Linked DNA regions of Macaca fascicularis. The main gene of each other region encodes a partner of the protein of the gene in region 3 in a complex. Links are inferred from orthologs where the notes say so. Each region holds a gene or a part of one and is shown on either strand. Other genes may lie near its edges. The genes, in order: NIFK, PPP1CC and MKI67.

Region 1 (10,038 bases), on a different chromosome or scaffold from region 3:
AGGCACCAGGCAACCCTGCAGTAAGACAGGGGCACTTACACTCCAGGAGTCTTTCACCAAACAGGTAGTTGTTCATTGTTTCAGCAACTATCTTGGCAACATCCTCAGACTCAAACTCCACAAATGCATAGCCTTTGCTATTTCCAGTCTGCAACAGAGAAGTCGCCACAAAAAGTAGAACAATCAAATTTGAATGCATCATCAAATTCCTAAAATGCCATTATTTTAAATAATGTATATTAGCTCCTTATCAAATATTACCACACACTTAATTCTAACTTCAATTCACATATTCTGGGGACTGTTATGGGAAAAAGAAAAGATGCAAGAATCTGGACGCACAGCTGATTTTGTGGTATTCTTGGGATTTTGGTTATATGTGATAAATACACAGTTCCTATGGCTGGAATTTATTCAGTAACAACACCCCATGGTATAAAAAAAGTCTTCAACTTAAAAGCCACATGGCTTAACAGTGGGAATCAAGAGGCTCATTTCTAGCACCAGTTGTGTCAGTAACGAGCAACTTGGACACTTCCACAACTGAGTCTCAGCTTAATTATCTTCAACAGGGGGATTCTTGGAAAAATTTAAATCCCTCAAAATCCATTTATAATCTCAACACTCAAAAGGGAGGAGAAGGCCAGGCGTGGCGACTCACGCCTGTAATCCTAGCACTTTGGGAGGTTGAGGAGGGTGGATCACCTGAGGTCAGGAGTTCAAGACCAGCCTGGTCAACATGGTGAAACCCCATCTCCCCTAAAAACACAAAAAATTCACTTTGGGAGGCCGAGGCGGGTGGATCTCGAGGTCCGGGGTTCGAGACCAGCCTGGCCAACACAGTGAAACACCATCTCTACTAAAGATACAAAAAATTAGCTGGGCATGGTGACATGCATCTGTAATCCCAGCTACTCGGGAGGCTGAGCTGGGAGAATCACTTGAACCTGAGAGGCAGAGGTTGTAGTGAGCTGAGATTGTGCTACTGCACTCCAGCCTGGGCGACAGAGCAAGATTCCATCTCAAAAAAGAAAAACTAGGCCAAGCGAGGTGGCTCATGCCTATAATCCCAGCACTTTGTGAGGCCGAGGTGGGTGGATCATCTGAGGTCAGGAGTTAGAGACCAGCCTGGCCAAAATGGTGAAACCCTATCTCTACTAAAATACAAAAATTAGGCCGGGCACAGTGGCTCACATCTGTAATCCCTGCACTTTGGGAGGCTGAGGCAGGAGGATCACCTGAGGTCGGGAGTTCGAAACCATCCTGACCAATATGGTGAAACCCCATCTCTACTAAATATACAAAAATTAGCCAGGGGTGGTGGTGTGCGCCTGTAATCCCAGCTATTCAGGAGACTGAGGCAGGAGATTCGCTTGAACCCAAGAGGCTGAGGGTGCAGTGAGCCAAGATCGCGCCACTGCACTCCAGCCTGGGCAACAGAGTGAGACTCCGTTTCGGGGAGGGGGGGGGAAGGCCAGCACGGTGGCTCACGCTTGTAACCCCAGCACTTTGGGAGGCCAAGGCGGGAGGATCATGAGGTCAGGAGATCGAGACCATCCTGGCTAACACAGTGAAACCCCCTCTCTACTAAAAAAGTACCAAAAAAAAAAAAAATTAGCCAGGTGTGGTGGTGGGCGCCTGTGGTCCCAACTACTCGGGAGGCTGAGGCAGGAGAATGGCGTGAACCCGAGAGGCAGAGCTTGCAGTGAGCCGAGATCACACCACTGCACTCCAGCCTGGGTGACAGAGCGAGACTCTGTCTCAAAAAAAAAAAAAAAAAGTTAGCCAGGCATGGTGGCGGGCACCTATAATCCCAGCTAGTCTGGAGGAGGGCAGGAGAATCGCTTGAACCTGGGAGGCAGAGGTCACAGTCAGCTGAGGAACTGTGCTACTGCACTCCAGCCCGGGCGACAGAGCGAGACTCCGTCTCAAACAAAACAAAACAACAACCAAAAAAACCCTGAATAGAATGAAATAGAAAATCAGCAAATCACACAAAACAAGTTTAAATATTGTCTCATATGGCTTTTATTTCAGTTATGCTTACATGTATGTGTATGTGTGCTGGTTTGTGCTATGAAACTTTTTTTGAAAACCCTCATCTTCTCTGTGATGGTAAAAACTTACTTCTTATTGTGAGCCAGTCTGCAAAATGCTCTTCTAGAAAAATCTGTCTATACCTGCACAAAGATTGTTCCTAGCAGCTTCATGTAAAGAGTTAAAAATAGTAAAAAACCTAATGTTCAGGCTAGGCACAGTGGCTCGCTCACACTTGTAATTCCAGCACCTTCGGAGGCCGAGGTGGGCGGATCACCTGAGGTCAGGAGTTTGAGACCAGCCTGGCCAAAACATGGTGAAACACGGTTTCTACTGAAAATATAAAAATTAGCCAGGTGCAGTGGCCAGTACCTGTAATCTCAGCCACTTAGGAGGATGAGGCAGGAGAATCACTTGAATGTGGAGGCAGAGGTTGCAGTGAGCTGAGATCGTACCACTGCACTACAGCTGCCTGGTGACAAGAGTGAGATTGTCTCAAAAAAAAAAAAAACCCCAAAACAAAACCTAATGTTCAATAGGAGCGTGGATAAACTTTAGTTACCTAAGTAACAAGCAATGATGATAACAAAGGCACTAGAGTTACACGGATAAAGCTCAGATTATTGAGTAAAAAAATTCAGCTGAAGAATGATAGAAATAATTTTAAAATAATACTATATGTACATTTATATATGTACACACGTGTTGTAGCACATATATATATAGATACAGTAAAAACTTATAAACATATATAGCAATGAAAACTGAATTTGTGGCCAGGAGCGATGGCTCACGCCTGTAATCCCAGCACTCTGGGTGGCTGAGGTGGGAGGATCACAAGGTCAGGAGTTCGAGAACAGCCTGGCCAACTAATGAAACCCCGTCTCTACTAAAAACACAAAAAAAATGTAGCCAGGTGTGGTGGCAGGTGCCTATAATCCCAGCTACTTGGGAGGGTGAGGCAAGGAGAATCGCTTGAACCTGGGAGGCGGAGGTCGCAGTGAGCTGAGATCGCACCACTGCACTCCAGTGCAAGCTTCTGTCTCAAAAAAAAGAAAACGGAATTTGTGAATTTAATTCCCTAATTAAAGGAGAAGGTGAAGAACACTGGGAAGGGTACAAAAGGGACCTCAATTCTACCTATAATCTGTATCTTTAGGACAACTAACAGATGATGGATGCACACCCTATCCCCTAGATGCTAAATCAAATAGGTGCCTATGGCTACAACCCAAGTTTATGTGCCGGGATTCTATGTTTCAGATTCTAAACCTCCACTCTTCTTTTTGGAATGAAATCTGATAAGAGTATGTGAACGTGCTCTTTAATGTCAAGAATCACACACATTTGAAAAACAAAACGTCAAATCCAACTTTAAAAATCTTACCCTTTTACTTCTGGACAGTCTGAATCGTGTCACAGTGCCAAACTGGGAGAAATACGAAAAGATCTGGGTTTCGTTAAGTAGGTTAGGTAGGTGGCCCACATAGACTACTCCAGAAGTAAGTCGTTCTTGTTTTTTCCGCTGAAGACATAAAGACCAGGTAAATTAAATATTTTTTAAAATAAGAAAATCACATTGTAACAAAACTTACAAAACCCCTAGCCCTAGGCCCAAGAACCTACTCCGCATTTCCACTTACCACAGTAGTAATTAAAGAAGTGGCTGTTGAGTGTCTCTCTCCCCACAAAGGCCATGGCCAAGCAGTAATCAACTATCTTTCCAGCCTGGCATCCCAGCACCCAGTATAATGTTAGTGCTCAATAACTATGTCAATCAACGGATAAGCAAGGACATCTTCGAACAAGCCATTTTGGATCTTCTGCCCAGAGAACTCTACATAAATATAGCCTTCAATTTTGTATGCATATTACTGTTTACTCGCATTTCATCGAAAAATTTTCGAGACGCTTGCTAACTCTCACAATACAGATTAGCCTTTCAGCGTCTCAACCATCATACCCTTACCTCTGTAACAAGAACTTCTAAGTTTTCCTGTGTAGTTTATGCTAAAAACCACAGAAAGTATAAGCGATGTCAGGGGCCCTGGTCAGCAAGCGGAACCTGGCAACTACTCTATTTTAATAACTCCCAGATCACCAACCCGGCATACAAACCTCCCGAATGTGTTAAGTCTGGGGCCCCCGTTTTCGGGGGGAACGCGGAAGCGTGACAGGTCTAACCCGGAGACAACCTGTGGTATGGGAACCTATTCCCTCCAGGTGGTTCCCTCCGCGGCTTCCGTCACCCCAATACTTCCCCCTTACCCTCCACATGAAGGCTCCAAGGCCTCAGCGGCCAAACCTCTCCATCATTTACCCACCAGCGTAAACCCTTTAGTCTCAGAAACCGTGGCCTGCAAGCTTAAGAGGTGGGTCCCTGATTCGGTCAAATCCGCTAAGGATACTCTGGAAGGCGTGCGCGAAGGCAAGGGGAGTCCGGGCGGGGAACCGCGCAACCCCGGATACCCCCTAGACCCTGTCCGTCGCCCCCGCTCGCAGCCTGGACCAGGGTGCCTGCTCACCTGGGTTATGCGCTTGCGAACCTGCGCCACCTCCTTTTGAAACTCGGCATCTTCCTGCGGGTTAAGCGACAGGATCGGCCCAGCTGGGCCAGAAAAAGCCGCCATGCCAAAAGCGGCCAACACTAACTCCACGCGGCGCTCCCGGAAACGACGGGCTCCCAGCTCCCCTGAGGCGGAAGTAGAGGCAGGACAGGGGCGTGGCGAAGCGCGGAGGCGAGGCGTGGCGAGGGGTGGGGAGGGCCATGAGTCGCGCGCGGGGTTGGAGCAGGAGTAGCACGGAGAAGCGGGGGTGGGGCACGAGGCGCGGGGCGCGGGACGCGGGACGGGGCATAAATTGTGCCGTGGTGCGAGGGCGGGGCACGAGGCCTGGCGAGGGGCGGGGAGAGGCATGAGTCGCGCGGAGGCGCGGCACCGGGCGTGAGTTGTGCCGAGGCGGGGGTGGGGAGTGGGGCGGGACGGGGGTGGGGTGGGGACAGGGGTGGGGGTGGAGACGGGGGGGGGTGGACAGAGCGGTGCGGGGCAGGGGGGCCCCGGGGCGGGGGGGAGTGGGGTCTGGGGCTGGGCTGGGGATAGTTTCCGCGCCCTCCGCTGTAGGGGCGCCGATTGGCTTGGCTTAAGAGTGCCTGAAACAATTACCTTCACGCCTACTTAGAAAGGCGGTCTACAATTATAAAACAGTACTGGTGCCCGAGATGCTGCTCACATTCCTCAATTTGCTTATTATTATTTTCGAAACAGTTTCCGCTCTGGTTGCCCCAGCTGCAGTGAAATGGCTCAATCTGAGCTGACTGCAACTTCTGCCTTCAGAGTTCAAGTGATTCTCCTGCCTCAGTCTCCCGAGTAGCTGGGATTACTGGCGCCCGCACCACGCCCCACTGGCTTATTTTTAGTAGAAATGGGGTTTCACCATGTTGGTCAGGCTGGTCTCGAAGTCCTGACCTCAGGTGATCTACCCGCCTCAACCTCCCAAAGTGCTGGGATAACAGGTGTGAGCCACCGTGCCCAGCCCTAATTTGGTTATTTCACTCACTAGTGTGTGAGCCCCTCCTGTGTGGAGACCCCTAGAGAATTTACAGCCTGGGGCAGCATGGCTGCTTTGAGAGATGAAAGAACCTCGTGGGGGAGAGGCACACTGGGTGACGCAGGAGGGTCCCCCTTAGGAGGTGGTGTTGGCAGCGAAGCCTGAAGGCTAAGGAGCAGGGTCTGGAGAACTGAGGCCCTGCCATCTGCTGGATCAGACAGGCCTACACATGTGTTCCTAGGTATAGAAAGAAGGACCCAGCAGTGGGGTTGGAGCCCAGCGTAGGAGGGAAGAGCTGCGAGGGGGCAGGCTGGAGTCCCATGGCTCTGTGTGTCAAAGTATGAAACTGGGGTTTTGTTGTAAATGCGAGGGGGTGGTTGGGTTTTAAGCGAGGCTGTGGCTGTTTACACCTTTTTTGTCCAGAACTGGTGGATTCTTGGTCTCCCTGACTTCAGGAATGAAGCCACAGACCCTCGTGGTGAGTGTTACAGTTCTTAAAGATGGTGTGTCCAGAGTTTGTTCCTTCTGATGTTCGGACATGTTCAGAGTTTCTCCCTTCGGGTGGGTTTGTGGTCTCACTGGCTTCAGGAGTGAAGCTGCAGACCTTTGCGGTGTTACAGCTCTTAAAGGCAGTGCGTCTGGAGTCGTTCATCCCTCCTGGTGGGTTTGTGGTCTTGCTGGCTTCAGGAGCGAAGCTGCAAACCTTTGTGGTGAGTGTTACAGCTCATAAAGGCGGTGCACACCCAAAGAGTGAGCAGCAGCAAGATTTATTGCAAGAGCAAAAGAACAAAGCTTCCACAGCATAGAAGGGGACCTGAGCAAGTTGCCACTGCTAGTTGGAGCAGCCTTCTTTTATTTACTTATCTGACCCCACCCACATCCTGCTGATTGGTCCATTTTACAGAGAGCTAATTGGTCCGTTTTAACAGAGTGCTGATTGTTGTGTTTACAAACCTTGAGCTAGACACAGAGTGCTGATTGGTATATTTATAAGCTAGACATAAAAGTTCTCCAAGTCCCCACCAGACTCAGGAGCCCAGCTGGCTTCCCCTAGTGGATCCAGCACAGGGGGCACAGGCAGAGCTGCCCTCCAGTCCCGCTCCGCGTGCCTGCACTCCTCAGCCCTTGGGCGGGTAGATGGGAAGGGGCGCCACCCAGCAAGGGGCTGCACCCCTTGGGGAGGCTTGGGCTGCACGGGAGCCCACTGCGGGGCATGGCGGGCTGCAGGTCCCTGGCCCTGCCCCATGGGAGGCAGCTGAGGCCTGGCAAGAATTTGAGCACAGCGTGGGTGGGCTGGCACTGATGGGGAACCTGGCACACCCTCCGCAGCTGCTATCCTGGGTGCTAAGCCCCTCACTGCCGCTCCAGTGCAGGGCTGGCCCAGCCTGCACCCACTCAAAACTTGCGCTGGCCCACCAGCACTGCAGGCAGCCCCGGTTCCTGCTGCGCCTCTCCCTCCACGCCTCCCCTCAAGCAGAGGGAGCTGCTGGGACAGCACAGAGAGGGGCTCCCACAGTGGAGCCGCAGGCTGAAGGGCTCCTCCAGCGTGGCCAGAGCGGACGCCGAGGGCTGCTAGCACGCTGTCACCTCTGTCTTGTCTTTTTTTTTTTTTTGAGACGGAGTCTTGTGTTGCCCAGGCTGGAGTGTAATGGCACGATGTCGGCTCACTCACTGCAACCTCTGACTCCTGGGTTCAAGCGATTCTCCTGCCTCAGCCTCCTGACTAGCTAGGGCTACAGGTGCGCACCACTACTCTTGGCTAATTTTTGTATTTTTAGTAGAAACGAGGTTTCGCCATTTTGGCCAGGCTGGTCATGAACCCCAGACCTTAAGTGATCTACCCGCTTCGGTCTCCCAAAGTGCTGGGATTACTGGTGTGAGCCACCGCACCCGACCTGTTTGTACCTTTCAAATACTATTACACTAGTGAGTAACTGAGTGGAGAGGAAGAGTGGGGAGTGGATTGCCGAGGAAGCAGGGAGGTGAGGCGAGAGTGACAGATCAAGCACAGCTAGCGTCAGGGGATAGCACCCCCCTCTGGAAGCCCTGAGGGCAGCCCAGGGTGTGTGTGCCTGAAGAGTGGCCTGTGGGCCTGAGGTGGAGGCCCTGGGAGGGAGTGCCTAGCAGAGGCCAGCCCACTTCCTCTGACAGACACTTGCCTCCCTCACTCACAGCCTTCGCCTCCTTCACCCCGGCACCCTCCGGTTCAGCTCCACTGTCACCCCCAAGGGGGCATCCCTGAGGCTGTAGCAAAGTCAGCTCTTCCAGTTAAGCGCCCTCTTCCCATTGTGTTTTCTTTTTGTTTTTTTGAGACGGAGTCTCGCTCTGTCGCCCAGGCTGGAGTGCAGTGGCCGGATCTCAGCTCACTGCAAGCTCCACCTCCCGGGTTTACGCCATTCTCCTGCCTCAGCCTCCCGAGTAGCTGGGATTACAGGCGCCCACCACCTCGCCCGGCTAGTTTTTTGTATTTTCTAGTAGAGACGGGGTTTCACCGTGTTAGCCAGGATGGTCTCGATCTCCTGACGTCGTGATCCGCCGTCTCGGCCTTCCAAAGTGCTGGGATTATAGGCTTGAGCTACCACACCCGGCCTACCCCATTGTGTTTTCATGGCTAGGCTGGATTTTTGGGAGTGAGCGAGCAAGAGCAATTTGATTCTTTTTCAGGAGTGCCCCTTTCCATGGGCTTGTTCTTGCTGTCCCCGGGATGAAATCTTGGGGAGAGCTCTGCACTTGTGATGGCTCCTCAGATGTCAATTAACAGAAGCATTTCCACGCGTTCAAAATCTAGTATCAAATGTCTCCTCTCCCTGGCTCAGTGTCTCAGGCAGAGAAATCCCCAAAGGGGAGCACAGTCCACATCGTATTTGTTCTTGGCTCCACCTTCTCTCTACACCCCAGTTTCTTTTTTTGGCCTTTTCTAATCCCGGAAAGGCCAAAAAAAAAAAAAAAATGGAGAAAGGAGAAAGGGGCTCCTTGCTAGCGGGTGCCACGTGGCCAGGGAGCTTCAGAGGCGGCAAATGCCAGGGTGCTGGCACCTTCTCTCCAAGCACACATTTGAGGTGTCCCTTAGCCGGCCGCTCATGACTCTGCCTGCCTGCCAGAGCTTCTGCTTGTCGGCCAAGGTCAGCTCTGCGTCCAGAGGCTCCTGCTGGAGGGGCCTTTCCGACTGGACTTTATCATCCTGATCTTTTAAGAAGGGCCACGTCTTTTGTCTGTCACTGCCATGGGATTGCACTCTGCGTTGCTGCCAGGCAGACCTCCTGGCTGGCCTCATAGATGTCGGTGTATAAACCAGGTACAAGTCCCTGTATCCCCCAAATTCCAGAGGACGTAGACCAAATTCACTGGTTCCCTGAAGGTGTCATCTGTGTCCTCGTGTGTGTGTGTCTGTGTTTGTGTGAACCCTGTCCTCCTTCCTGAAGGTGACATCTTGACATGTCTCATAGCTACTAAGGGGAGAGGAGGATACGGGAAGGAATGACGGCAAACACATCTCTAGAGAAATCCTTTCTCAGGTTTTCCCAACCAACTCCACCTCCATGAGTGCCTGGCCTTGCCTTACATCCCCTCAGGTGGGTAGTGACCCAAGGCTTCTCAAACTTGAATAAGCATGTGGATTGCCTGGGGCCCTTGGGGCCAGGCAGGTGCTGATTCAGTAGGTCTGAGGTGGCCCACGTTCTATGTTCCTATCAAGCTTCCAGAAGAGGCCAATACTCCATAGACCACACTTAAAAACAGGAATAGAGATTTGTGGCATTGATTACTGAGTCAGAATTCTGGGACAGAATGTATTCTGTCACCCTCCGGAAGATTTGTTCAAGTCCTAATCGCTGGTACATGGGTACGTGTGAATGACACTGTACTTGGAGAGTCTTTGAGGATGGAATCACATTAAGATGAGGTCATGGCTGGGCACGGTGGCTCACGCCTGTAATCCCAGCACTTCAGGAGGCTGAGGCAGGCAGATCACTCGAGGTCAGGAGTTCGAGACCAGCCTGGCCAACATGGTGAAACCCTGTCTCTACTAAAAATACAAAAATAAGGCCGGGCACAGTGGTGGGTGCCTGATCTCAGCACTTTGGTAGGCCGAAGCGGGTGGATCACTTGAGGTCAGGAGTTCAAGACCAGCCTGGCCAATAGGGTGAAACTCCATATCTACTAAAAATACAGAAATTAGCCAGGTGCGGTGGCAGGCACCTGTAATCCCAGATACTTGGGAGGCTGAGGCAGGAGAATTGCTTGAATCTGGGAGGCTGAGGTTGCAGTGAGCTGAGATTGTGCCGTTGCACTCTAGCCTGGGTGTCGAGGAAAACTCCATCTCAAAAAAAAAAAAAGAAGAAGTTATCAGGACGTGGTGGTGCATGCTGGTAGTCCCAGCTACTTGGGAGGCTGAGGTGACAGGATCACTTGAGCCTAGGAGGTTGAGGCTGCAGTGAGTGGTGATCACACTACTGC
Region 2 (9,273 bases), on a different chromosome or scaffold from region 3:
TTATAATGACTGAGCTGAGAAGATAAGGATGCTCAGTGAGAGGTAGTTCTCTAGGAAATCTGCACTATTCATAGACCATTAAAATCTACAAGAGCTCATTGTATCGAGTTACAATATGGGATGCATATTATAAGAGTTAAAAACCATGTATCCAACTCTACCAAAACCTGTGTAAGTATAGAAGCACAGAGATAAAAGACATTATGTTGGCTTTTTGATGGCTGATTAATTTCACACCATACATGAAAAGAAATTCTCTTTGCAATTACTATTTTAATTACATTATAGAAAGCACAACCACTGAGCAAAGAAAAATAGCTTATAAAATATGTATGTATATATTTTTAGAGATAGGGTCTTCCTCTGTTGCCTAGGCTGGAGTGCAGTGGTGCGATCATAGCTCACTGCAGCCTTAAACCCCTGGGCTCAAGTGATCCTCCCGCCTCAGCCTCCCAAATAGCTATGGCTACAGGTGTGCACCATTACACCTGGCTAATTTTTAACACTTTTTCTAATGACAGGGGTCTCGATATGTTACAGGCTGTTCTCATATTCATGGCATCAAGCAATCCTTCCACCTTGGCCTCTCAAAAGTGCTGGAATTACAGATGCGAATTACTATGCCTGGACAAAATAACTTTTAAAATCCAAGTCAGAGAAAGTTCTGAGAGGATAAAAAACAAACAAGGGAAAATCTATTCACATCTTCAGTGTTCTAGAGGATCCCTGGCACAGCAAATTACATATTGTTCATTTTATAGTTAAAAATACTTTTCCGAGCCGGGCACGGTGGCTCACGCCTGTAATCCCAGCACTTTGGAAGTCCAAGGCAGGAGGATTGTTTGAGCCCAGGAATTTGTGACCAGCCTGGGCAACATGGTGAGAACTCATCCTTACAAAAAATAAAATAAAAATAAACATTTTCTGCTCTATTTTCAATCCTAATTTACAGAGTCTAGAATTCCCTGTAATAAATCAGTTCCTTAAGATTTTTATCCAAGTAATCCTGGCTGTATCGGAGTGACAGTGCAATGCAACACATCAACAAAGGAGAGTGTTCTGTCAGAGGAAGTCATCCCAATGGTAACTCACAAATGTTAAAGTGTTCATCCTTTGGAAGGGATCAAAACCTATTTGGAACAAAAATCAGCCCAACTACCTCCATGACAGCAGAATATCTTCTCATCCACGATGGCTGCTATCGGTAAACAGTTAAAACAGTCTGTGAAAGTTTTCCATAGTTTAATGTTGTATCTTCTTTTACCTGTGATTAAAAAGAGAGTATTACTGTTCCGTAGGCTCATTCTCTCAGGATTAACTTCCCCCAAAGCAAGATTCTGGGTGCTTTTTAAGCAAACGAAACTATGTTTTTATTAAGAATCTTAATAAAACTGTCTTATTTTAACACTCTTTTAAAATAAGAGCTGGGCGTGGTGGGTCAGACCTGTAACCCCAGCACTTCGGGAGGCTGAGGTAGGAGGATCGCTTGAGCCCAGGAGTTCAAGAACAGCTTGGGCAACATAGTGACAACCCATCTCTTTAAAGAAAGACTCTCCTGGAGGGAAGGGGTTTAGGAGAGACACATCTGATCTAAAAGCAATGACTTACATTTTCACATGAAATCTTTTTAAATTCCACAGAAGTATGAAACCAGAATTCCAGATTTGATAATGATTAAGGATTGCCATCAAATCCCAGGAATTATCTGGTAGCATCAATTCTGTCTGAAATCCAGTATGCTTTGTTCAATCTCACCGCAGCTAGTTCCCTAATTCTTAAGGCGATTACGAACTTACACCATGTGGCATTACGACCTTCCTTCTGAGGAATCCTGAGTTAGCACCCATCCCCCATGTACTCCCCTCAACAACCTACAGATACCAGAGGATCCCCAGGCCTCAGTGCTCTAGCAGGAGGCACAATGATCACACGGCAGTGGTGCCTCTCACAGGCACTACAGGGCATTTGTTTCCAACACTGCACAGACTCCACATGCTCCCACAGGCCTGATGTCACAGGGTGGTCACGTTCTCTCACCAGCACAGGCATCCACACATTCTGGAGTCAGAGTGCAGTTCTGACAGAAATATGCCACTATGCACTGTTTCTACAGGAAACTGATGTTCTGAGTTTAAAACCTACTCACATACCTTGCAAGAACAAATTTCTCTGGATTGGTTGAGGACTGTCCAATTGTCCAGATGCCTTTGTTTCCTGTACCTTACTAAGCACAATCTTTAAAAACCAACAGTTTGGCCAGGCGGGGTAGCTCACATCTGTAATCCCAGCTCTTTGGGAGGTCAAGGCGGGCAGATCATCTGAGGTTGGGAGTTTGAGACCAGCCTGACCAAGATGGAGAAATCCCTTCTTTACTAAAAATACAAAAATTAGCTGGGTGTGGTGGTGCATGCCTGTAATCCCAACTACTTGGGAGGCTGAGGCAGGAGAATCGCTTGAACCCAGGAGGCGGAGATTGTGGTGAGCCTTGATTGTGCCATTGCACTCCGGCCTGGGCAACAAGAGCGAAACTCCATCTCAAAAAACAAACCAAACCAAACCAAACCAAACCAAACCAAGAGTTTGTCCTTAGTCTCTTCCCGGGGACTACAGGGACATCGAAAGGTTTAAACCTGTACCTCTCCTTTGAGAGTTAGGGCCAGCCCAAACAACTGACCTGAACCACACTTCCCACCCTGTAATGCAAATCAAGCAGTCTAGGGAGTTTAGCACAGGGCTTGAAATGTAATGTAAATTCAACAAATGTTTGCCTTCTCTCTGCAGAGAAGAGTGTTATCTTTTCTCCTAGTAATTTCTGGTTTCTCAATGACTGGGTCTAACTCTGTGGGTCACCCTGTTGCGCATTTCTTTAGAGGCTACTAACTCCTTCACTGGAGGGGTTCTGAAAGTTCAACAAACTCCTCCCGCCAGGCTGAGGAGGCTGAGGCAGGAAAACTGCTTGAACCTGGGAGGCAGAGGTTGCAGTAAGCCAAGATCGCACCATTGCACTCCAGCCTGGGCAACAAGAGTGAATGAAACTCCATCTAAAAAAAAAAAAAAAAAAAAAAAACCAACAAACTCCTCCTTACGAAAGGCTGATGGGCAATCTGCAAAAACACCACCTCCCATGTCCAACAGCAATACTACTACTAACCACCACCACCACCACAAGATGAGTATCCTTAATCCAAGATGCTCCAAAATTTGAAACTTTTTGAGCACTCACATGATGCTCAAAGGAAATGCTCACTGGAGCATTCCGGATTTCAGATTTTTGGATTAGGGATGTTTAACCAGTAATTATAACACAAATATTCCAAAATTAAAACAAAACAAAACAAAACAAAACACAAAACTCTGAAACCTGCAACACTTCTAGTCCCAAGCATTCCAGGTAAGGAATACTTAACCTGTATTATAAGAACAGGGCTGCTGCCTTAGCCCCCCAGTGATAGTGACTTCCTCTTTCCCCAAGGTCAGCTTCACTTCTGGATATTTTTTTTTTTTGAGGTGGGGTCTCACTCCGTCACCCAGGTGGAGTAAAGCAATGTGATCTCGGCTCACTGCAACCACAGCCTCCCGAGTTCCAGGGATTCTTCTGCCTCAATCTCCTGAGTAGCTGGGACTACAGGTGTGCACCACCACACCTAATTTTTGTATTTTTAGTAGAGATGGGTTTTCACCATGTTGGTCAGACTGGTCTTGAACTCCTGACCTCAAGTGATCCACCCACCTTGGCCTCCCAAAGTACTGGGATTACAGGCATGAGCTACCATGCCCGGCCTTTGATTCTTTAGTTATGCCACAAACTCCAGTTTCTTCTCTTGCCGATTTCTGCTGGCCTCTCCATGAAAAATCAGTTTGCTTCCTCCTTTTGCCTCTCAGCACTTGAAGCGTGGGGCTGTCTCTTTCTCTTCTCTCTTCATATCCTCCCTAAGGCCACCTCAAACCACTAGGAACATCTGGGTCCTAAAAGGTTTAACCAGGGAAATCGTCTAGCTTCCAAATCCTAAGATTCTGAGCCATAACCTGTAATGCAGTTTCCCATTACTGTACATCAGACAGCTCCGATAGCAGAAATGGATCAACAAACACTCCTGTTTTACCCAACAACATATACCTCAGCCTTTTCATCACATTTGCAAAATTTAAACAAACAAACAAAAAAGAAATGGTAGTATAAAGTACTTATGTACCTGGAAAACAGGCAGTGGTTTTAAAATTGTCCCATGAAAATCAACATTTGAATACAACTTTTCATTTTAATAAAATTAATATATATAATATATATACTAAATGTCTGCAAGCCTTCAACCAGAAGCCACCTATGTCAAGGGCACTTTTATGCCCACAAGTAGACTGGATGGCAAATTGTATCTGCCTGATGGGAGAGAGGATGCTTGATCTATAAACTGTGTTGATGATCAAACAGGAGTCGAAACTGATACCAACCGACACTGATCTTCTAAGTCATTTTAAAGGCCTCTGCATTGAGTAGAAACTGAAACTGATGCAGCTAGTATCATTACGTTAGGATAGAAGTCACAACAATGAGGTCAAATGGATTTGAATTCATCAGTGCAAACATGAAAAGTATTTACTGGGCTAACAGTTATGTAAAAGGAACCCTTTCTTAACTCAAGAGTAACACTTGGAATAAGTATCCAAAACACAATGTTGCCTGGGTGTGGTGGCCCATGCCTGTAATGCCAGCACTTAGGGAGGCTGAGGTGAAAGGATTGCTTGAGCCCAGAAATTACAGGTTGTAGTAAGCTATGATCCTACCTCTGCACTCCAGCTTAAGGCTCTGTCTCAAAAACAAAAAACAACAACAAAAAAAACCCACCACATCTGCCTTGTATTTCACTACCTAAGGAGTAGTAACTGGCTTACTGGTACTTCTTTGACACAGAATCCCTGTTAATATCGAATATCTTTCCTGTACAGGTTCAATGGTATCAGTCAGTCCAGAACCCACAGAATTTTTGTCCCTGATCATTCCTGCCACCTCATCTTACCAGCTGGATCTCAAGGACACAGACCAAGCAAACATCCAGTAGTGGGAAAGGGTGGTAGTAGAAGGGCTCAGTCTGTGAATATAATCTTTCTAGGATGCACTTCTAACAAATGTGCTAGCTCACTGCATCTATGTGAACTGAGATGGAAAAACACACATCTGGAGACTCTAAGTTAGGATGTGGTCTAGGGGAGGGCCACAGGGACAACACTTTGCTGATCTCCCTATAATCATATTAGCAAATGCCAACTACCTGAAGTTCCTTAACCACCCCACCCCTTCACTCCAAACCTGAAACCCCTCCTGGCAGAAATAAGCACAAAAGGAAGGTGAAGGTAAAGATTCAAAACCTTTTCTGACGTAAAACCCTTTATCAAACTGATTATTTTCAAAGTTTTTTTTTTTTGATACGGAGTCTCACTCTGCCACCCAGGCTGGAGTACAGTGGTGTGATCTCGACTCACTGAACCCGACTCCCGGGTTCAAGCGATTCTCCTGCCTCAGTCTCCCAAGTAGCTGGGACTACAGGCATCTGACACCACGCCTGGCTAATTTTTGTATTTTTAGTAGAGACAGGGTTTCGTCATGTTGGCCAGGATGGTCTCGATCTCTTGACCTCATGATCCACCTGCCGTGGCCTCCCAAAGTGTTGGGATTACAGGCGTGAGCCACTGCGCCCAGCCTATTTGCAAAGCTTTAAGAACTGTGTTTTGTCAATAGTCAAATCAAAGTGCACCTTTAAATAAACAATCCAAAATGAGTCACAAAATGCGTAAAATACTGTAAAAATAATCTTTGTTCAGCACATTTTAGTTTTAGGAAAGTTATTGCCATTCTTCCTGGGTGCGGTTATGCCAGAGGAGAAAAACCATAATAATTTCAAAAACTAATTATTTACACATTGCCAAGATTCCATTTGCATGCAATGTTCTCTAGCAGACAAAAAGTAGATTAGTGGTTGCCTGGGGGCTACGGTGAGATGGTCGCGTTAACTATAAATTTACTACAAATCACTGAATTGTATACTTTCAACAGATTAATTTTATGGAATGAAATTACATAATAAAGTTGCTTAAAACTATTTAGAATGGTTCTCAGATTTCTACCAAGAATTAAGTTATCTGTGAATACAACAATTTACATCTTAAAGAAACCACTACCATGATCATTATTTCCTAATCTGATCATCACATCATAAAAGAATCCAAGACCTTATTTTATTATAGCGGCAGTGTTCTTTTTCTACCCAAGAGAGAAAAAACTGGCTGGGCGCCATGGCTCACACGAGTAATCCCAGGACTTTTGAGTGGCCTAGGTGGGCAGATTCCTTGAGTCCACGAGTTTCAGATCAGCTTGGGCAACAAGGTGAAACCCCATCTCTTCAAAAAAATACATGAATTAGCTGAGCGTGGTGATGCATGTCTGCAGTCCTAGCTACCTGGGAGGCTGAGGCAGGAGGATCGCTTGAGCCTGGGAGGCAGAGGTTACAATGAGGTTAAGATGGTGCTACTGCACTCCAGCCTGGGCTGTTAACAGAGTGAGACTCTGTTCCCCCACCTCCCCTAAAAAGCTAAGTTAAAAACAAGTTGATGAAATAGAAAACATGAGAGATGATACCACTGCATCTAAACTCTCACAATTCCTAACAGAAGTACGTGATAATTGTTTATGATAAATATCTTAATTTCAATAACTTCCTGAGATATAGAAAAGTACTTACATTCATCATAAAATCCATAAATTCTGTTGATGCTGGCACATTCATGGTTCCCTCTGAGAAGAAAAAAATTCTCAGGATATTTGATTTTGTAGGCCAGTAAGAGGCAGATCGTCTCCAATGACTGCTTTCCCCTGTCCACATAGTCCCCAAGAAACAGGTAGTTGCTTTCTGGCGGGAAACCACCGTACTCAAAAAGTCGCAGCAAATCATAGTATTGCCCATGGATGTCACCTAGAAGCAAGAATTTTGTTACACAGTGTTCCCATACTTACAGCTCAATCCACTAACAAAGCTTTAGAAAGAAATTCTTTAAAAATTCATTGTACAATGGCATTGACCTCTAGTAATGAGAGTTTAATTGGACAGCCAACACTAAGTAATTTCCAAACTGGCATCATATTTAGTTCAATTGAACTTAATAAAATTTTTAAGTATATGTGTATGTCCAGAACCTCACACAAAATTCAACTAATTAAGAATTTATTCTGTGGAAAGGGTTATTATGTCCAGGCATGCCTTCTTGCCAAGTAACATGGTATTCCTTTCAGGATGACTGATCAATATCAGATCCCTGATAGCTCAGTCTCTAGGTACTGTGTCAGCAGAACTGCTGCACTTTTAGCGAGCCTTGGCCCAGTCTGAGCAAAGCACATACACACATACACACGACCCCCACCCCCCACCCATCAATGCATTTAGCTTTCAATTTCTCCCTGCTAGATAATGCCAAAGAACATTTTACTTTTAAAAACATGAACACAGGCCGGGCGCGGTGGCTCAAGCCCGTAATCCCAGCACTTTGGGAGGCCGAGACGGGCGGATCACGAGGTCAGGAGATTGAGACCATCTACACGGTGAAACCCCATCTCTACTAAAAAAATACAAAAAAATGGACGGGCGCGGTGGCTCAAGCCTATAATCCCAGCACTTTGGGAGGCCGAGACAGGCGGATCACGAGGTCAGGAGATCGAGACCATCCTGGTTAATACGGTGAAACCCCGTCTCTACTAAAAAGTACAAAAAACTAGCCGGGCGAGGTGGCGGGCGCCTGTAGTCCCAGCTACTTGGGAGGCTGAGGCAGGAGAATGGCGTGAACCCGGGAGGTGGAGCTTGCAGTGAGCTGAGATCTGGCCACTGCACTCCAGCCTGGGCGACAGAGCAAGACTCCGTCTCAAAAAAAAAAAAAAAAGAATACAAAGTTTTATCAATGCAAATATGCTATAAGAATATATTACGCAAATGAAAACAGTTTAGTTTTACATTGAGTTAAAACACAAATTATCTGCTTCCATTATGCAGAAAACAGAACCACAAAATCAACATCAAGGAAGTTCTACTTTTAGTTATAAACAGTGTTGCTTTAAACTTAAAACATATTCCTATACATCTATGTAGTTCAGACCTTTCCTTGGCTCTCCATTCTTAGTTTCATTTTTTCTTCTGCAATGTTTATTCCTTCAGCAAAATATTTTTTTAAAAAATCTGAAGTATCTCTAAGTAAACTAAGTCCATTAGAGGTATTTATTCTAAAGCTACTATTTAACTTAATTTTTAGTAGTTCCAAGCTATTCACAAACAGGAGAATGATTCTGCTAGCTAATACAAGGTCATCAACATATTCTTGACTCAGTTAATCAATCACGTAACCAAAGATAACTTGTGTGCCCCAAACTTACCACATATTTTGAGTGGTGCTTCAAGTTCTAGTAGGATAGGCTGACTGAGAAAGATTTCACGAGATTTTAAACACAGTCCTCTGATTTCATTCTCCTGGAGCTGGACGTTCTTACCAGGCTTGGACCCTCTCACTGCAGAGGAGAAAAACCACAATTAGTCTAATGAAGCCAAAATACAAAATACAATACAAGATTTAGATAAATGGGCAAAAACATGGTTTAACTAGCTTTCTCTGAGTGGCTTCATTTTCAGGACACTTATAATAAACATGGTTTTATTTATTTTTATTATTATTATTTTTTGAGACGGAGTCTCGCTCTGTCGCCCAGGCTGGAGTGCAGTGGCTGGATCTCAGCTCACTGCAAGCTCCGCCTCCCAGGTTTACGCCATTCTCCTGCCTCAGCCTCCCAAGTAGCTGGGACTACAGGCGCCCGCCACCTCGCCCGGCTAGTTTTTTGTATTTTTAGTAGAGATGGGGTTTCACCGTGTTAGCCAGGATGGTCTCTATCTCCTGACCTCGTGATCCGCCTGTCTCGGCCTCCCAAAGTGCTGGGATTACAGGCTTGAGCCACCGCGCCCGGCCTAAACATGGTTTTAATGTCTAATTAGAATCTTAAAATATTAGACAAGATTTAATTGTATCTTCGATATCAAGTAAGACTTCTTTTTTTTTTTTTTTTTTGAGACGGAGTCTCACTCTGTCGCCCAGGCTGGAGTGCAGTGGCCGGATCTCAGCTCACTGCAAGCTCCGCCTCCCGGGTTCACGCCATTCTCCTGCCTCAGCCTCCCCAGTAGCTGGGACTACAGGCGCCCGCCACCTCGCCCGGCTAGTTTTTTGTATTTCTTAGTAGAGACGGGGTTT
Region 3 (9,998 bases):
GTGAAACCCCGTCTCTACTAAAAATACAAAAAACTAGCCGGGCGAGGTGGCGGGCGCCTGTAGTCCCAGCTACTCCGGAGGCTGAGGCAGGAGAATGGCGTAAACCCGGGAGGCGGAGCTTGCAGTGAGCTGAGATCCGGCCACTGCACTCCAGCCCAGGCTACAGAGCAAGACTCCGTCTCAAAAAAAAAAAAAAAATTACGAAAATTAGCTGGGCGTTGTGGTGCGCGCCTGTAATCCCAGCTACTTGGGAGGCTGAGGCACAAGAATCACTTGAACCCGGAAGGCGGAGGTTGCAGTGAGCCAAGATCACACCACTGCACTCCAGCCTGGGTGACAGAGAAAGACTCTGTCTCAAAAACAAACAAACAAAACTTCCTACATAGAAGTCTGTATTAAATAAAAATACTCTTTAAAAATGAGGGCAAACTTCCAAGAAGCACAGTAAAATAAATGACCAGAGAATTTAAGTGGTGCATTAAAAAAATAACTATCTAATACAAATGAAGACAATAACAGAGACAGAGATCCATTTAGCAAAATGGATTTTTAAATGACCCAAATAATATGTTGTCTACAAGAGACACAATTTTGATTCAAAGACACAATCCTTTAAAATAAAAGCATGAGAAAAGATATACCATGCAAACAGCAAGCAGAGGGGAACTGGAGTGCTATACTAACATGACACAAAATCACCTCAGACAAAAATTATTCATAGAGAAAAAGGACATTTTACATAAGGATCAATCCAGCAAGAAGATATTCCAGTTAAACACGAGAGTTCATCTGACAATAGGTTCCAAGAGACAACTTAAAATAAACCATAAAAATTATGAAAAGTTAAAATTAAGGGGGTGGAAAAAGTTACACTACACAAGCACTGACCAAAAGGAAATTAGTTTAGCCATATTCATCATCCAAAGGAAACATTAAGCAGAAAAGAAAGCATTGCTAAAAATAGAGGACATCTCTAAATGACAAAGAGTTCCATGCACCAAGAAGATATAATTGTAAGTTTGTACACCATAGTACAGCCTCAAAATATACAAAGCAAAAACTGACAAGAGATCAAAACAAATCAATCAATCAATCCCCAGTAGGTGATTTGAACATATCTCTTAGAATAGTAGGGAAAAATTTATTAGAATATAGAAGATTTGAATCTAACGGGAGTGTGTGTATCTGTGTGTGTGTGTGTGTGTGTATATATATACACACACGTATATAAATAAAATATCTGAGGCACTGTAGAATAGTTTTCAATTACACAAGGCAGATTAGTAAAATAATTAACCGTATCTGCTCATAAAGCAAACCCTGACACATTTCAAAGACTGGACATTAGTCAAATGTCCATCAAGAATAAATGAACTCTGTATAGTTATGTATATTATTGTATATATTAAACATATTTTTTTCAGTGAAATACTTATGCCATGAGAAGGAACAAACTACAGAGATGCCCAACATGCTATGAATCTCACACACATAAAAGCACAAGCCAGGCACAAATGTATACATTCTTATATCACTGTTAAGGATTTTCATAAGAACAGACAAAACTGTAGTGTGTTCAGAGATCCATGCTTAGGCAGTGAAACTCGAGACATTTGATATCCTGAAAGCCAAAACGGTGGTCTACTTGCTGAGGGAAGGAAGTCGTGATTAGAAAACAGCATTTTAAAATGCTTCTGGAAATGTTCTATATAAGCTGGTGGTATATTAGTCTGCTAGGGCCACCATAATAAAGTCCCACAGACTGAACGCCTTGAACAACAGACATGCCCTTCTCAGTGCTGGAGGCCAGAAGTCCAAGAGCAAGGTGTCAGCTGGATTGGACTTCTCTGTGCCTCTCTCCTTGACTTGCAGATGGCTGCCTTCTTGCTGCCTCTTCTCGTGGGCTTTCCTGTGCATGTGTTCCCTAATCTCCTCTCATAATGACACCAATCATCAGATTAGGGCCCATACTAATGGCCTCAAAAAGCCTTCATTGCCTTTTTAAATGCCCTCTTTCCAAATACAGCCTAAGGTACGAGGGGTTAAGAATTCAAAATATAAATTTTGGGAGAGCACAAATCAGTCCTATTACAATAGGTAGTGATCAAAAGGGTATTCACATGATAAATTGACCTGTCTATCTTGTTTTGTACCTTTTTCTCTGAGTGTATTTTGCTTTAAAATAAAAAAGAATAGAAAAATCTCATGCAGTTTCACAACACTTGGAAGAAAATAACAAACTCCTTTAGGACAAGGTCAACCTTCCTCTGCATAATTATTTGCACCCAAATCCTTGAATTCCATCACATTTTGTCCCAATTAGTCAGCTTTCTAGATCCATATCCTCTTAAATTAAGATTAGTGTTGAGAATGAAAACCTGAAATACTTTGACATCCATGAACATTAAAGAAGAATGACAGTTGACTACGACACTAATTTACAGTTAATCAGAAGATGACATTTACTGTTAGACCAATCAGCTTTTGCCTACCTGAAAGATCGATCAATAATGGTTATTACATCTCCATGTTTTAGCTGTACAGGCTCATCAATAACAGACCCATTTACTTGTGTTGGATTTGTGGAACTGAAATTATGTAATATTGCCTGCAAGTGAAAAAAAGGGGAAAATATGTAACTAATGAACAGATTGAAAGTGAACTAAAAGCTTTAAAAGTAGATCTCCAGAAAACCACTCACCTCCTGCTCAATGATTTCAATTTTGCAATGTTGTTTTGACACAACAGGAAGCTGGATACGGATGTCACATTCAATACCCCTTCATGCGAAAGAAGAAGGATTTTTTGGTTGTTGTAACTTTTTAAAACATTACCTCAGTTTCCCAAAATAAAACACAATTTGACTAGAATGTTTGATCTGTAAACATAATTGACATAAAGGAGTAACAAAATGGGCAATGTAAACGATCTTGCATTTTGCAAAGAACTTTTGGAAGTATTAATCATGTAACTATTAGATCTTTAAAACAGAGTACATGAAAATAAGGGAAGACACTAGAATACAAATTGAATTACCTTTTATATAAAAAGCTATACTTAAAAGACACAAATAAAGGAGTACTTACATCAATTTTGGAAAATGACTATTTTTAATACTCTGTGCTTTCTCAAAAACGTTTGTTTGTAATGTTAAATATGTTTAGAGGTTTAATCATCCCCAAATGTGCTTATTTTATGCTAGCACTTTTGTGCATCAGTTTCTTCATATACAATAGAGTACATCATGTGATGTTCAAACAATTAAATGGATGTACATGTCACTAATTTGCCTAGCACATAGTAAATGCTCATTATGGGTGAGCTTTTCATTGTTGTTTTAAAACTACACTGAATTTACGGACAGACTCAAAAGTCTCTAAATAAAAATACTAACTTGTGCGCAACAAAAAAAAATCTAAATTCAACTTGTTTTTCCACAGAAAGCTAACACCACAGCAAAGTAGCGGAAGAGACAATTCCTAAACCTACACAAACTAATAATCAGAACAGTTCATTAGTAGGTTCCTAGAGTCTTCAGTGTGCCTGTTCTAGCCCGTGATCTTAAAAATTTGAACAAATTATGCAATGCCCTGTCTGTTCTCCATCCGAACCTTTGGAGTCTAAGAATCTCTCTTCCTACCCAGGTCATGTGACCAAACACTTAGGAATTAGTTTCTAAATTATAAAATCTTGCATGAAAATACATTCAAGGACTACTGTATGAAAAGCAAAAGGACTGCCACTTGAGATGAAATGTTTATATTTTTCCTTTTCAAGAGAAAGGTATCCATGGAAAGTGAAAAGCTACCTTAACCCCAAATAAAATAATTTGACTTTAAGGTAACAGGACATCTGAGCAAAGGAGAGACTATCCCCTACAACTGAGAATTTGTTTGGCAGGAGGACGACTATGGGTGGATGGGTGTTTCTGAGCTTTGGCACTGTTGACATCTTGGGTCAGATGCTTCTGTATTGTGGGGGCTGCCCTGAGCCTGGTAGGTTGTCCACCCTGACCTCTCCTTTGCGATGACGGCACATGTCCCCTTCCTGTATTGTGACATGGAAATTCAAATGACTCCTGGAAGGTAAGATGACCCTCCTGTGAGAACCACTGCTCTTAAGCGATTGCAAATCGGTGGCTCCAGCCGGTGTTTCTACTGACCCTTGCCAGAATGCTAGGTATTGATCACACCCCCTGTGTAGTAACAAGACAGTCCTTGCCTTTGGGGAGCTCAGCCTAGTGGGAAACAAACCCACAACTCACCCATGAAGCTGTGGGATGGGAAACACAAATTTTCATGCAAGGCTTCCTCGGAGGTGACATTTCACCTGATGCCTGAATGATGGAAATCACACAAGTTTGGGGAAGGGGAGAACTTTCCCATCATAAACTTCCAAGTGTGTAAGAAGTACCAAGGTGAACAAGGGCTTGGAATGCCTTAGGCAGGAGGAACAAGGTAGGGATGGGGTTGGGAGGATGGGGTGAGGCCAGGATGGGATTCAGGGCCCAGACCACACAGGAAGTGACCCCTTCTCAGACCTCTAGTGGGACACATGTCAGAGGCTGATAGGGGCATTGTTAGCATTTTGCCTGTTATACAGGGACTGTGTTATTACCACCACCAAATGGGACAGCAACATAAGAGAAAATGTTCTCAAACTCCAAGCAGGAAGACTTTCTGTCCCATTTTCCTATTGCCGCCAAGAGGCAAGTGTATGGCTTCCTTCCTCCATTCTCTTAGGGTCCCCAGTGGCCAGTGATGTCCAGTGTGGAGGGACCCGGGGGCGCACAGTGTCTTCAGACGCCTGCCTGAAGCCAGTGAGGTATGAAGATTATCTATATCTTTCTTTATCGTAAGATTAGAAAATCGATTTTTTAAATTGGCTTGATTTTTGAAAACACCTATACAAACACTAGCATCAAATTTATATTTGGCAAAACAAAACACAACTATGTCAACTTAGTAACGAATGGGAGAAGCACCAAGGAAAAGTGACAGCAGGACCCAATCCTAGAGCGCGTTTCTGGACCGTGTACTGTGACTAAGATATTTTCCTCTTTCTCAGCTGAAATGTCCGCGCGCGCCCGCGGGGCTCACCTTCCAAACAAGCAGGTACTGAGGCTCAGGGGAAAGTGGGGACCGTCGACCCCGCTCCTTTTGATAGTAACCAGGCGTCTCGTGGGCCCCATTTTCTAAACAAGAAGTTGAGTATAATCCGTAGGGGAAGGCCAGGTACCGAAAGGTTTGCAGAAGCAAATTTACAACTCTTCCACTGCAAAAGAGGTGCGGGTTACTCTGATAGCAAAGGAGCTAAGAAGAGCCGCGTGCTCAGTCCACCTATCCCCGGCCACACAGGCGCACACCGCAGCTAGCCAGCGGGGACCCCAGCACAACCCGACCGCAGCCCCTGGCGCCCCAAAGTCCCGCGGCCGGAGTGCTGTCGCCAGCGCCTGCACCTCCCGGGAGCTTCCACCCAGACGCCCTCGCCAGAGCCCAGGAGCAGTCGGGCCCAGGCCGCGCGTCCGTCCCCGCAGAGCTCGGGGTTCCCCGCGGCTCAGCCCTCGACCCCGGACAGCTCCCAGGCGTCCCGGCCGCAGCTCACCTGGGACGATTCGGCCCCCAAGGCCACTTGTCAAACCACCGCTCGTCAAGTTGCACCCAAAGTCCGCCGCAGGAGGAGCCGGCGCCGCGCTCACCTTCGCCTGGTAAGCTGCGCCCGCCACGCGCCGCACACACCCGGCCGCAGCCCGCCGGGCCGCGCTCGCTCCGCCCCGGCCTGCGGTCCCCGCTGCTCCCGCCGCCGCCCCTGACGGGGACCCGGTGGCCCTACAGGTTACGTCCCCGGGCGCCCGGCTCTAGGGGCTCCCGCCGAGTCCTCCCGCCCGCCCGCTGCGTCCGCCCGCCACTTCCTTCCTCCAAACCGGCGCGCCCGCCCAATTCAAACGAAAACGGAGATTCAAATTCTGGCGCTAAGCGCTGCGATTGAACGGGAAAGCGCGGCATGGAACCAATAGGAAGGGCGCCAGGGAGTGGGCGGGGAGGGGAGGCGGAAACGGGGCTCCTGGGGCGGGGCTGGCGTGTCCGCGGGCGAGCCATTCATTCATCCGGAGGAAAATACCTGGGTGCAGCCCGGGCGAGGGCGACTGGCGGAGGGCAGAGGTGGAACACGCTCCCACCGAGATAACCCGTCCTGCCATCCTTTTCTTAAAGGACCAAACACCTGGGAAACTATAACGTTACTCATTGCCAGGAGATTTAAAACTGTTAAAAATTGCAAACAGGCGGGACACGGTGGCTCACGCCGGTAATCCCCGCACTTTGGGAAGCTGAAGCAGGAGGATCCCTTGAGCCCGGGAATTCAGAATCAGCCTGGGGCACCTGGAGAGAACCAATCTCTAAAAAAAATTAGCTAGGCATGGTGGCGCGCCTGTAGTTCTAGCTACTGGGACAGTTGAGGTGGGACGATCACTTGAGCCAGGGCGGTCGAGGCTGCAGTGGGCTGAGATGGCGCCACTGCACTCCAGCCTGTCTCAGAAAAAAAAAAAAAAAAAAAAAAAAAAAAAATTGAACCCTTCCTCTTCAGTGCATACATCTTACCAAACACAACCAATTATATGGTTTGGTGTGTTTGGTGTGTCTTTTCCAGCTATACGTGTATTCTCTTTTTCAAAAGCACAGAAAAAAGATCATAACATACACAACACGGTTCTATATTTTGTGTTCTCTGCTTTTAAATATCCTGAGGCTATCTCCACCCAGTACATTCTCGCTTTTACTCTCTGTTTGATGGCTGCAGAGCACTGGGCTTCGGGAAACCATAATTTACTTAATCTTTACTATTGCCACATATTTAGGTTTAAAACGTTTTGTTATTAGAAAACATTCTTCAATTAAAATGCCTTGTGCATGCCAAGATGGGTGAATCCTAAAATAATTATACACAGGATTCTATCAGGGTCTGCTTCAGTTGCGCTGGTGGCCATGTGGGCTCAGTGGGCCACCTGGGGTGAAGTAAATGGAGCCCAACCATGGTTTTGGTGACACCCTCCCTGCAGCCCCATCTCACCTCCTCCAGCTCCCCAGCAACCCTTGGAGCTTGGCTTCCTTGATCAGGAGCAAGCATTCTCACTGTTTGGAGGGGACCCCTAAGGGCTTCCTATTCCTTTCAGGGCGGTCCATGAGATCAAAACCATGTCTCTAATGGCCCTCAGTGTTACTTGTCCTTCTTATTCTCATGCTCCCAAGAGTGTGGGATGCGGTTCTGCAAATACAGAAGCAGTGAGGAGACTCCCACTGTCTCCGTTTCAACCAGGCACTACAGAGATTTGCAAAAATGTGAAATAAAGTGCTGTTTTCATTTTGTTGTTGTTTTGGATAATGCAGATTTTTTTCCATAAAGGTAAGTTATTGGTGTTAGCATCAAACAGGTGCACTATCTTAAAACGAATCAATAAATGAATATTTTTAAATTCCTTAGCCTTAAAATATATAAATATAGCTAGATATAACCCATCCACATTCACAAAACTTCCTGGTGGTTCTCAATCATTCTTAAGAGTGTAAAGAGACCACAAGATTGAAAAGACTGAGCCCTGTGCTCTAGAGCAACTACAAAGATATCAGCTGCTGATGGAAACAGAGAAACTGGGAAAGCAACATAAAAGCATAGGACAGCAACTCTAAATTGTATGGGCCAAGTCTCATGTAGAAAAATTCAATGCAGGGAAACTATTACATAAACGTTTTAGGGGGCATGAGTTTCCATGTTCTTTCCATTAAACGATCAAACAAAGCTCACCACTGCATAACCCCATAAAATACAACTTTTCACATCCTAATTACTGCTTGTTTCCAGGGACAGTTCTTCCACCCTCATGGATGCAGCCTAATTAGAACTAGAAGGTACTAGGCCAGGTGCAGTGGCGCATGCTTGTAATCCCAACATTTTGGGAGGCCAAGGTGGGTGGATCACTTAAGGCCAGAAGTTCAAAACCTGCCTGGCCAACATGGTGAAACCCCGTCTCTACTGAAAATGCAAAAATTAGCCCAGTATGGTGGTGTGCACCTGTAATCCAAGCTACTCGAGAGGTTAAGTCAGGAGAATCTCTTGAACCCAGGAGACAGAGGTTGCAGTGAGCCAAGATCACACCACTGCACTCCAGCCTGAGCGACAGAGTGAGACTCTGCCTCAAAACAGAACTAGGAGATGCTAGAATATCTGTCCGATAATCCAAACACTAGTGAACACAGAGTACCAATTCTCAAGAGACAGCAGGAAATTAAAGGAAAGATACAGGGGAATGGTCAGAGTGGTGGATCTTAGATCCAAAGGAGAGCCTGTCTTTAAACTGTTTTATGATAGACTTTTGCAGTGGGGCTTTCTGTTGAATTTTAAACTTGGCCCAAAGCCTAAGACTTCATAATAAACGCAGATCTCTGGACTGTGAGAAGAGCCCTATGCCTCCCGTTCCCAGGCTGGCCTCTGGCCCTGTGTCTCCATCCAGTGTGATCAGCGTCTCTAATGGGGTGTGGAACAAAAGCTTGTGGCTAGAGCACCAGAGACCCAAGATGTGCAGGAAGAGACTTTCCAGGGGTTATGTGGATCTGGGGAGTCTCAGGGAATCCATTTCCAGATCCTCACAGTTCACACTCTCTCATGTCCAAAATCAGTCAGCCAGAGGACAGGTCTCCAAAGGAGTCCATGCCCCAGGGTCCTTCTCACCCTTCTTACTCCCAAGCTGCAGATCTCATCTGCCTGAAACTTACAATGCACATTGCCCCAGGCAACCAATAACGGAAATATCCAACAATTCCCTTAACTGTGTCCATCCATCTGATTAGAGTATATACTTACAATAAAATTTGATCTTATGTTTCATAAAAATGTAATTTGAAACATTGCAAACATGAATTTAAAAATATTCATTTATTGATCCATTTTAAGATAGTGATAGTGTTGTTTCATCAACTGTTTTAGTAAGTATGTATATAAATACCTGTGTAATATGTATGTGTATGTATACATAAAAAAGAAGAGACGCTAGGCAAGGTGGCTCACGCCTGTAATCCCAGCACTTTGGGAGGCCCAGGCAGGAGTTGAGGCCAGGAGTTGGAGATCAGCCTGGGCAACATAGCAAGACCCTCCATCTCTACGAAAAATTAAAAAAACAATTAGCCAGGCTGGTGGCGTGGGCCTGTAGTCCCAACTCTCTAGGAGGCTGAGGCAGAAGGATTGCCTGAGCACAGGAAGTGGAGGCTGCAGTGAGCTGAGATTGCGCCACTGCACTCCAGCCTGAGCGACACAGTGAGACCTTGTCTTATAAATAAATAAATAAATAAATAAATAATAAAGGCAAGGAAGAGTTTCAGATAAGTAGAACAGAAGTGTATAAAAGACCCTTTAATACAAAAGCATGTGAGGTGCCTTAGGATAAATTCGGAGGGGAAAGTGAAGTAGAAACACGCAAAAAGGACTCGTGCGGGGAGCTACCTTGGAAGACTTTCCGTCAGCCTGGGCGAGTCTTGGAGGGGCGGCCCTGCCGGCAAGGGCGGTCTCTTTAGCTCTGGCTCCTGTCCTGTTTGTGAGTTTCTTTCCTTCCTGACCTGAGGCTCCTTCCAACATCTCAGCTCCCAGCCAGCGGTCCCAGTGGACGCCCTCGGCTTGGAGGTGGGGGGGCGGGTTTTAAAGTTCACAATCCCTGACCCCGCCCCCATCCGCCGGGGCAGGAAGATGGAGGCTCAGTTCGTGGACACCCTGGGCTCGGCCTCCTGGGCTACTGGCGCCCCCAGAAGTGTCCACGCGAAGGCCTGGATTCCGGCGGTTCACCTGGCTCACTGCCCAGGCCCTGGGACCCTAGAGTGGCTGCAGAGAGGGGCGCTGCACCAATCAAGAAAGCACCAGGGTCCCGGAACTTCACTATCTCTGCCCCTGCCCCAAAAAAAGCATCACTGTCCCCAAGCGCCCCCCATTTCCAATTAGTGGAGATAAAGACCCTA

What was found.
Region 1: the proteins of MKI67 (region 3) and NIFK are in contact, whole or in part, in an NMR structure (PDB 2AFF), measured with the Homo sapiens proteins. The link is inferred for Macaca fascicularis from reciprocal best matches to the Homo sapiens genes MKI67 and NIFK. Residues at the interface, in NP_002408.3 of Homo sapiens: Thr9, Ile10, Lys11, Arg12, Ser13, Pro18, His19, Phe20, Pro21, Ser23, Leu24, Arg31, Gly32, Ile33, Glu34, Cys35, Asp36, Ile37, Arg38, Ile39, Gln40, Leu41, Pro42, Val43, Val44, Ser45, Lys46, Thr66, Asn67, Ile91; in NP_115766.3 of Homo sapiens: Val228, Asp229, Ser230, Gln231, Gly232, Pro233, Thr234, Pro235, Val236, Cys237, Phe241, Leu242, Arg245, Gln248, Val249, Leu252, Asp256, Lys257, Asp259, Glu260, Ile261, Val262, Phe263, Lys264, Gln265, Pro266, Ile267.
Region 2: the proteins of MKI67 (region 3) and PPP1CC are in contact, whole or in part, in a crystal structure (PDB 5J28), measured with the Homo sapiens proteins. The link is inferred for Macaca fascicularis from reciprocal best matches to the Homo sapiens genes MKI67 and PPP1CC. Residues at the interface, in NP_002408.3 of Homo sapiens: Arg504, Arg505, Val506, Ser507, Phe508, Gly509, His511, Leu512, Arg513, Pro514, Glu515, Leu516, Phe517, Asp518, Glu519, Asn520, Leu521, Pro522, Pro523, Asn524, Pro526, Leu527, Gly530, Glu531, Ala532, Pro533, Lys535; in NP_002701.1 of Homo sapiens: Val19, Arg20, Gly21, Ser22, Lys23, Pro24, Lys60, Tyr70, Asp71, Leu73, Arg74, Glu77, Tyr78, Lys168, Ile169, Asp242, Leu243, Tyr255, Phe257, Arg261, Pro270, Asn271, Ser284, Asp286, Thr288, Leu289, Met290, Cys291, Ser292, Phe293.

The regions. Positions count from the first base shown.
Region 1 is NC_088386.1:9,998,924-10,008,961, reverse strand, and holds the start of NIFK (MKI67 FHA domain-interacting nucleolar phosphoprotein), read right to left. Parts: upstream 4,686-10,038; 5' UTR 4,668-4,685; coding exon 4,563-4,667; intron 3,563-4,562; coding exon 3,425-3,562; intron 149-3,424; coding exon 40-148; intron 1-39.
Region 2 is NC_088385.1:117,606,394-117,615,666, forward strand, and holds part of PPP1CC (serine/threonine-protein phosphatase PP1-gamma catalytic subunit), read right to left. Parts: intron 8,543-9,273; coding exon 8,411-8,542; intron 6,966-8,410; coding exon 6,735-6,965; intron 1,265-6,734; coding exon 1,160-1,264; intron 1-1,159. UniProt on the Homo sapiens protein: Protein phosphatase that associates with over 200 regulatory proteins to form highly specific holoenzymes which dephosphorylate hundreds of biological targets.
Region 3 is NC_088383.1:137,085,539-137,095,536, forward strand, and holds the start of MKI67 (proliferation marker protein Ki-67), read right to left. Parts: upstream 5,896-9,998; 5' UTR 5,605-5,895; intron 5,275-5,604; 5' UTR 5,192-5,274; coding exon 5,100-5,191; intron 2,781-5,099; coding exon 2,702-2,780; intron 2,609-2,701; coding exon 2,493-2,608; intron 1-2,492. UniProt on the Homo sapiens protein: Protein that associates with the surface of mitotic chromosomes and acts both as a chromosome repellent during early mitosis and chromosome attractant during late mitosis.